Yarrowia lipolytica: one gene and its partner. The protein of the gene in region 1 interacts with the protein of each later gene in a pairwise test. Links are inferred from orthologs where the notes say so. Each region holds a gene or a part of one and is shown in the gene's direction. Other genes may lie near its edges.

What was found. The genes of interacting proteins can lie anywhere in the genome.
Region 2: the proteins of YALI1_E27144g (region 1) and YALI1_D20473g interact in binary tests that used the Saccharomyces cerevisiae proteins (3 or more experiments, as listed by UniProt). The link is inferred for Yarrowia lipolytica from reciprocal best matches to the Saccharomyces cerevisiae genes FRS1 and FRS2.

What each region holds. Positions count from the first base shown.
Region 1 is NC_090774.1:2,712,113-2,716,302, reverse strand, and holds YALI1_E27144g (uncharacterized protein), read left to right. Parts: upstream 1-1,888; coding exon 1,889-3,670; downstream 3,671-4,190. Other genes in the region: YALI1_E27161g (uncharacterized protein), read left to right, coding at 175-786; YALI1_E27113g (uncharacterized protein), read right to left, coding at 3,932-4,190.
Region 2 is NC_090773.1:2,045,586-2,049,265, forward strand, and holds YALI1_D20473g (uncharacterized protein), read left to right. Parts: upstream 1-1,695; coding exon 1,696-3,171; downstream 3,172-3,680. Other genes in the region: YALI1_D20457g (uncharacterized protein), read right to left, coding at 1-113.

The sequences.
Region 1 (4,190 bases):
TCCGAACCGTGCACACTCGCCAAACAAAAAGAAGACACTTTACATTTACGTATACACACACACACGCACACACTACACACTTTGGTTAGTTTTGCAAGGGGAAAAAAAGGAGATTTCTCACGCCCCAGCTTCTAAACAGACGACAAGAACCAAAAAACCGACACCGATACAAACATGCCAGCACAGCCCGCCGATTTGCGACGAAAGCTCGTCATTGTGGGAGACGGAGCCTGCGGAAAAACCTGTCTGCTCATTGTCTTTGCCAAGGGCACCTTCCCCGAGGTCTACGTGCCCACTGTGTTCGACAACTACGTGACCGACGTGGAGATTGACGGCCGACGAGTGGAGCTGGCCCTGTGGGATACCGCCGGCCAGGAAGACTACGACCGACTGCGACCCCTGTCGTACCCCGATTCCAACGTGATCATCATCTGCTTTGCCATCGACTCGCCCGACTCGCTGGACAACGTGCAGGAGAAGTGGATTTCCGAGGTGCTGCACTTTTGCCAGGGCGTGCCCATTCTGCTGGTCGGTTGCAAGGTGGACCTGCGAAACGACCCCAAGACCATCGAGGAGCTCAGAAGAACGTCCCAGCGACCGGTCACCACCGAGGAGGGAAACGCCGTGGCCCAGAAGATTGGCGCACTCAAGTACCTCGAGTGCTCTGCCCGAACCCACGACGGAGTGCGGGAGATCTTTGAGCACGCTACCCGAGCCGCTCTCATTGGCCCCAAGGGACGAGAGCCCACTTCAGGCAAGAAGAAGAAGAAGTGCGTGATCCTCTAAGCGCGCGCGGAAAAAGAAGATCGACTCGTACTGTGGGCACCGTTATACGCCACGAGCACGCGCCTACACGCCACGAGAACGCCCCTTACAAACTAGTTTTTATAACAATGGATGGTCATATTGAGTAATACTTCTGGTGGATGACTATCATAGCTGTAGTTCGCTTCACTGAAGGGGCTGACTGAATCTAAATATACACGGTATCATACGTACGAACACACGTTAATATGGGTACGATACTGTACACTCTTACAATTCTCGTAGAAGGGGGTTTTGGACGCCACATAGTGACAAGAAATGACGACCGAAAAAGAGCACCTACAATAGTACGATACCTGTACATACTGTACATGTACAAGTACCGGCTTGGTGAAATTTGGCACGTGCATGAACCAAACACAGCCCCTTTTCTATGACTGAAACACATCCTATCCATTAATACGTACAAGTACCGGTACTTGCACACGTACTTGCATTCATACAACAATTAGTTATATTGTGCTCATACTCAGGGCAGTAAAAAATACACTCGCCATGTTTACATATTAATGCACTTTACGCTCGCGTAATATCTCCTGGCCGAAGTTTCTTCTGAACGAGCATGTACTTGTATGTATATTTACCAGACTCAATACTGGCGATAGTACGAGAAGAACACCAACGACATTGCTCGTCAATCAATAGACGTCTATTAGTCATCAATATGAAGAACAAAGTCACTAAATCGCAGACACAACAGGTTCTACAAGCTACAGTGTCAGGTACGAGTACGATACCTCTCACTCCAACAACGAGACAATAGGCTAACTCCGATGAATGAAATGCACTTGATATAGGACCCGATTAGTCAGCATGGCATGCGAAATGCCGGGATATTTTTTCATGAGTAAGCCAGGTCGGTCACCTGATCATAATTGCCCAATTTCCGTCCCAATCACCTCCAATACCCCCGTTCAAACCGCTGTCTGATTCTCGCCCACATGCAGCACACTACTATGTCGGCCGGGTAACGAAAAATTAGGAGTCATTCTAGCTCGAGTGCATCAAGCACCACAGATCAGGTATCAGCTACCCTCGATTTTGAAACCCAGCCGCGACAACCATGCCTACCATCTCCGTGGACAAAGAGGACCTGTACAAGGCCATTGGAAAGACCTACACGACCGAAGAGTTCGACGAGCTCTGTTTCGAGTTTGGAATCGAGCTGGACGAGGACACCACCAACGACTGCGTTGGAGATGAGCGTCCCCAGCTCAAGATTGAGATCCCCGCCAACCGATACGACATGCTGTGCATCGAGGGTATTGCGCAGGCTCTCAATGTGTTCCTTGGCCGGGCCGAGGTGCCCGAGATCAAGCTTACTAAGCCCTCCAAGATGCTTGAGCTCACCATTCACCCCGAGACCGCGGAGGTTCGACCCTACGCTGCTGCCGCCATTCTGCGAAACGTGACCCTCGACCAGCGAAAGTACGAGTCCTTCATTTCTCTGCAGGAGAAGCTGCACTCCAACATTTGTCGTGGACGACAGCTGGTGGCCATTGGTACCCACGACTTTGACAAGATGGTCCAGGATGGCCCCTACGCTTACAAGGCCTTCAAGCCCAACGACCCCAAGATGTCCTTCGTGCCTCTCAACCAGACCAAGGAGCTCACCGGAGAGGGAGTCATGGAGTTCTATGAGAAGGACAAGAACCTCGGAAAGTTCCTCTACATTATCAAGGACGCCCCCGTCTACCCTTACATTGTCATGGGCGACGACAACACTGTCTGCTCTTTGCCCCCCATCATCAACTCCGACAAGACCAAGGTTTCTCCCGACACCAAGAACATTTTCATTGAGGTGACTGGAACCGATAAGACCCGTCTGGAGATTGTTCTGTCTCAGATTGTCGCTGCTTTCTCCGAGTACTGCGCCGAGCCCTTCACCGTCGAACCTCTCAAGGTTGTCTCCGAGCACAATGGTGAGACTCGAATCACCCCTGAGATGACACCTCGAGTCATGCAGGCCGAGATTCCCTACATCAAGTCGTGCTTGGGTCTGGATCTGTCTGCCGACGACATTATCAAGCTGCTGGCAAAGATGTCGCTTCAGGCTTCCAAGACTTCCAACCCCGATGTGCTTGACGTGGCTATCCCCCCCACCCGATCCGACATTCTGCATCAGTGCGATATCATGGAGGACGCTGCCATTGGTTACGGCTTCAACAGTCTGCCTAAGACCCTCCCCATGAAGTCTGCCACCGTCGGTAAGCCCCAGCTCATCAACAAGGTGTCCGACATTGTTCGACGAGAGGTGGCCATGAGCGGCTGGGCCGAGGTGATGCCTCTGACCCTGTGCTCGCACGACGAGAACTTTGCCTTCCTCAACCGAAAGGACGAGGGCCAGGCCGTGCACCTTGCCAACCCCAAGACACAGGAGTACCAGGTGATCCGAACCTCGCTTCTCCCCGGTATTCTCAAGACTATCAGAGAGAACAAGAAGCACTCGCTGCCCATTAAGGTGTTTGAGACCGGTGATGTTGTTTTCAAGGACGAGTCCCTCGAGCGAAAGTCGTACAACCAGCGAAACTTCGGAGCCGTCTACTCCGGAAAGACCTCCGGTTTCGAGACTGTGCACGGCCTTCTTGGCCGACTGATGCAGATGCTGCGAGTTTCGTGGATCGAGAACCCCAAGGAGTCCACTTCCCGAGGCTACTGGATCGAGGAGTCGCACTCTGAGACCTTCTTCCCCGGCCGAGGCGCCACCATCCACCTGCGAACCAAGGACGGAGCCGAGGCCAAGGTAATTGGAGAGATGGGCATTCTGCATCCCAATGTCCTGGCCAAGTTTGAGATTCCTTATGCTTCCTCCAGCATCGAGTTCAACATTGAACCTTTCATGTAGGGGGAGTATAGAGAGTAATAGATTATGATTGATGTACAGATTCACAAACAGACGAACCAAGCGAGGAAGGGGTGATAATCCAACCGAGTGTAGATGTGAGCGCATATGAGTCGTTGGTAGCTGGGGGGAAACCTACGATGTGCTACGATAGGTCATTATAAGGTGGTATAGAGATGTATTAAATAGCTATGTTACATTTTATTTGCTTCGCTTTGTCCAGCCTTGATTTTGGTGAAGACTGCAATTCTTTTCCGTTATGGTCTAGTTCTTCTTCATCTTCATCCAGGCCTCGAAGCCAATACCGCCAAAGACAGCGGCTACACCAGCCCACTGGCCGAGAGTCAGCCGGTGGTTGAACCAGACAACGGACAGCAGCATGGAAAACATCTTTCGGGTCACATTGACGGTCACCAGCACGACAGAACCAAACTTCTCGAGGGTCTGGAAGATGAAGACCTGGCCCACAGCTCCACAGAGACCGAACAGAACGATGTCTCGCATGATTTCGGGATGCAGTCGG
Region 2 (3,680 bases), on another chromosome or scaffold:
GGCACCTTGGCGGCCTTGGACGACCCCAGCGAGTCCGTGATGCCGTGAGAAGGTCGCGACGACGTGCCCTTGGGCCGCGCGTGCCGGTTCATCCGCACCAAAGTTCGAAACATGTTTTTGGTCAGTGGTGGAACTGCTAGTAGATCTAATGTCGTGTGCAAGATCCGCCCGAAACTTTAGCAGTTTACCAGTGAAATGGCGCAACATGTCTTGCCTGATTCTGATATAACTAGTGGTGTGTTTCTACCAGAAAGAATACTGCACGGCCAGGAGTCGTTTGCACTTTTTCCGATTCGCTCTGGGACTCTCCAAGACAGAACGTAGGACCTTTCACTCTGACCATATTCAAGTAACAATCAAAGTTCTAGTTGACTCTATCCAACTAACTAGTGAGAAATTGATAAAATGTACCTGGAGCAGTGAAAATGCACAGGGAGCTTTACTGCACAAATATACAAGAATTGTCCAGACAAAAATATCTGGCGGTACGTTTACTGTACATCACAGTATAACTATGGGTTTATTAGTCAGCCTAACTCGCTTCTCATATCAGTCTCCCATCCCGTCGTCACGTGACTAAATCTTTCAATTTAGTAATAAAAAAATAAAACCTTTTTACTTTCAAAACCAACTGCGACAAGTGCATATGGAAAAAAAAATACATGCGCCTTGAGAGGAGTTGCAGAGCAAAACAAAAAAAAAGGGGATAGGGGGAAAAAGAATGCCATCACCCAGAATCGAACTGAGGTTTCCACGGCCACAACGTGGTGTACTAACCACTATACTATGATGGCTGGCGATAAAATGTTGAAGTTCTTGGGACACTAGTGAGAAACCTCCAGGTCACGTGTCCGGCGATTTCAACTGTGATTTGTGGGTGATTGAGGGTATTTACTAGAACTAAAGGGTCTTTATGGGTGGTTTTTTGGACTGTGTAATCTACTGGTCTTGTTTTTTTATTGATATTTCGTCCGGATCATAGAGCAATGGAGAACGTCTTGGTGGAGTGCCCTGAGTAGGTGCAGAAAGCTTGAGCAGTGATTTGAGAGAGTAGTAAAACCGAAAGAAATGTTTTGAAGAGTTTCTAAGGATTTATGGAAACTGTAAAATGTCTAGAAATTTTTCTATGTTTTCTAGTTGGAGTCCGTTCTTTTTTTTTTTTTTTTTTTTTCTATTTTTTTTTTTATTTTTTGTATTTTTTTTTTTTTTCATTTCCTCATTTTTATTTCATTTCTCATTTTTATTTAGTGATCCAGGCTGCACCTGATTCCGAGCATTCAAAGTACTTATTTTTGCACCAATTTTTTTGCAACTTGGTTTAGACGGAGAATTGGTGTTGTTTCCCGGTTATTTTTTGATCTAAAATCGTTCATATTCGCCCCATAATGGACTCTTCACAGTCAGTATCAAATTTTGACGATATGACTGAGTCAGCTTATGGTTAAAAAGATCTGAGACTGACTCATCTGAATCAGAACTTGAAAACAGGACAATTTCAAAAAGGGGAAAAATAAAGACAAAATGAAATCAGAAATCAGAATCGGTCAGGTTCTCAAATATCGGGTTTTCAGCCCAATTGACACACTCTTTAAAAGTGTTTGGAGCGCAGGTTGAACTGCGTCTCTCCACACCACTCCCGGGTAACCAGGATTAGCTCCTGAAAAACTCTGGGAGTATCTGTCACCACCAAACACCATGTCTGATCTCACGACCACAGTGCTGAAAACGCTTGCCGAGGGCCCCATCGCTGACTCGCGGGTGGCCTTCCCCGCCCATACCACCGCCCAGTTGCAGGGCACGCTGCAGAGTCTTGCCGGCCGAGAAATGGTGACCTACAAGGCCGTGGAGGAGGACAAGTGGGAGCTTACTGAGGAGGGCAAGGAGATTGTGTCGCTGGGCTCGCACGAGTACCGCCTCTATGAGGAGGTGTGCAAGGGTCTGGAGGGTTTGGAGCTGGCTGACGTGGCATCCAAGCTGGGAGCGTCGGGCAAAATTGGCCAGCAGCGGGCTTTCAAGAACGGCTGGGTCAAGAAGGAGGGCTCCAAGCTGATCAAGAGCAGCGACAGCGTGACTGACAAGACCGCCGAGGATCTTAAGACCATTGAGTCCACGGGCACCCTGGGAGACGCCAAGGAGCTGCAAGATCTTAAGAAGCGAAAGCTGATCACTAAGGTCAAGCAGGTGTGGTTTGAGATTGAAAAGGGCCCCGAGTTTGCGCTTACCGTCAAGGAGTACGCCACCGACGTGACAACCGACATGATCCAGAGCGGCGCCTGGAAGGACGCGGCATTCAAGCCCTACAACTTTGCCGCCGAGGGAGTCCAGCCCCAGTCCGGAGCGTTCCATCCTCTCAACAAGGTGCGGGAGGAGTTCCGACAGATTTTCTTCTCGCTGGGCTTCTCCGAAATGCCCACCAACCAGTACGTGGACTCTGGGTTCTGGAACTTTGACACGCTGTTTGTGCCCCAGAAGCACCCCGCACGAGACCTCCAGGACACCTTCTACGTCAAGGATCCCAAGGAGGCGGGTCTCCCCGAAGACATGGAGTACTGGAACAATGTCAAGAAGGTTCACGAGGACGGAGCCTACGGCTCCATCGGATACCGGTACGACTGGAAGCCTGAGGAGGCCCAGAAGCTAGTGCTGCGAACCCACACCACTGCGGTGTCGGCCAAGATGCTGCACCAGCTCGCCAAGGACCCCAAGCCTTCCAAGCTCTTTTCCATTGACCGAGTGTTCCGAAACGAGGCTGTGGATGCCACCCATCTGGCTGAGTTCCATCAGGTGGAGGGAGTGGTTGCCGACTACAACCTGACTCTCGGAGACCTGATTGGCTTCATGCAGATGTTCTTTTCGCAGATGGGCGTCAAGCAGCTGCGGTTCAAGCCCGCCTACAACCCCTACACCGAGCCGTCGCTGGAGATTTTCTCCTGGCACGAGGGTCTCGGCAAGTGGGTCGAAATTGGAAACTCAGGTATGTTCCGACCGGAAATGCTGGAGGCCATGGGTCTGCCCAAGGACCTGCGAGTTCACGGCTGGGGTCTATCGCTGGAGCGACCCACTATGATCAAGTATGGCGTCTCAAACATTCGAGAGCTGCTCGGTCATAAGGTATCTCTGGACTTTGTGGAGAACAACCCTGCTGTGCGATTGGATGAGGGTCTCAACTAAGTGCGGAGAAGAAGAGAGCAAGGGTTGATGGTATCGTGATGCAACGACCATGTTGCGTTCGATGAAGGATAGGAGAAGTAATAGATGTTAGATTGAACGAGGTAGCTGGGTGTGTTTCGTTGGATGTAGGGTGGTAATAGGCTGAGAAATGTGCTGGAGACATTCGGACCGAATGAACATCCCCGAGCTGTTCGAGATTTCAGATGATCTAGTACTGATCTGATTGAGACAGAATGGTTACTCGTGCTTGTAATGATGACCATGAACTACGCCGCCAGTTGTGTCTCGAAAAGACCACCAAAAATCACTTGGTGTAGCCTCGAAGTACACTGTCACACTCGCCTGGTCAGGAGGAATCCAACGGTACCATTTTCAGGTCTCTACGGCGTTTATCCAGAGATTTGAGTCCTTTTGTATTTGGGTCTAACATCACCACTTCACCACTTGGATCCACTTGGACCTACATTACCACTTTGTCGCCAGAGGTACCATTGCACTCATAATGGTAT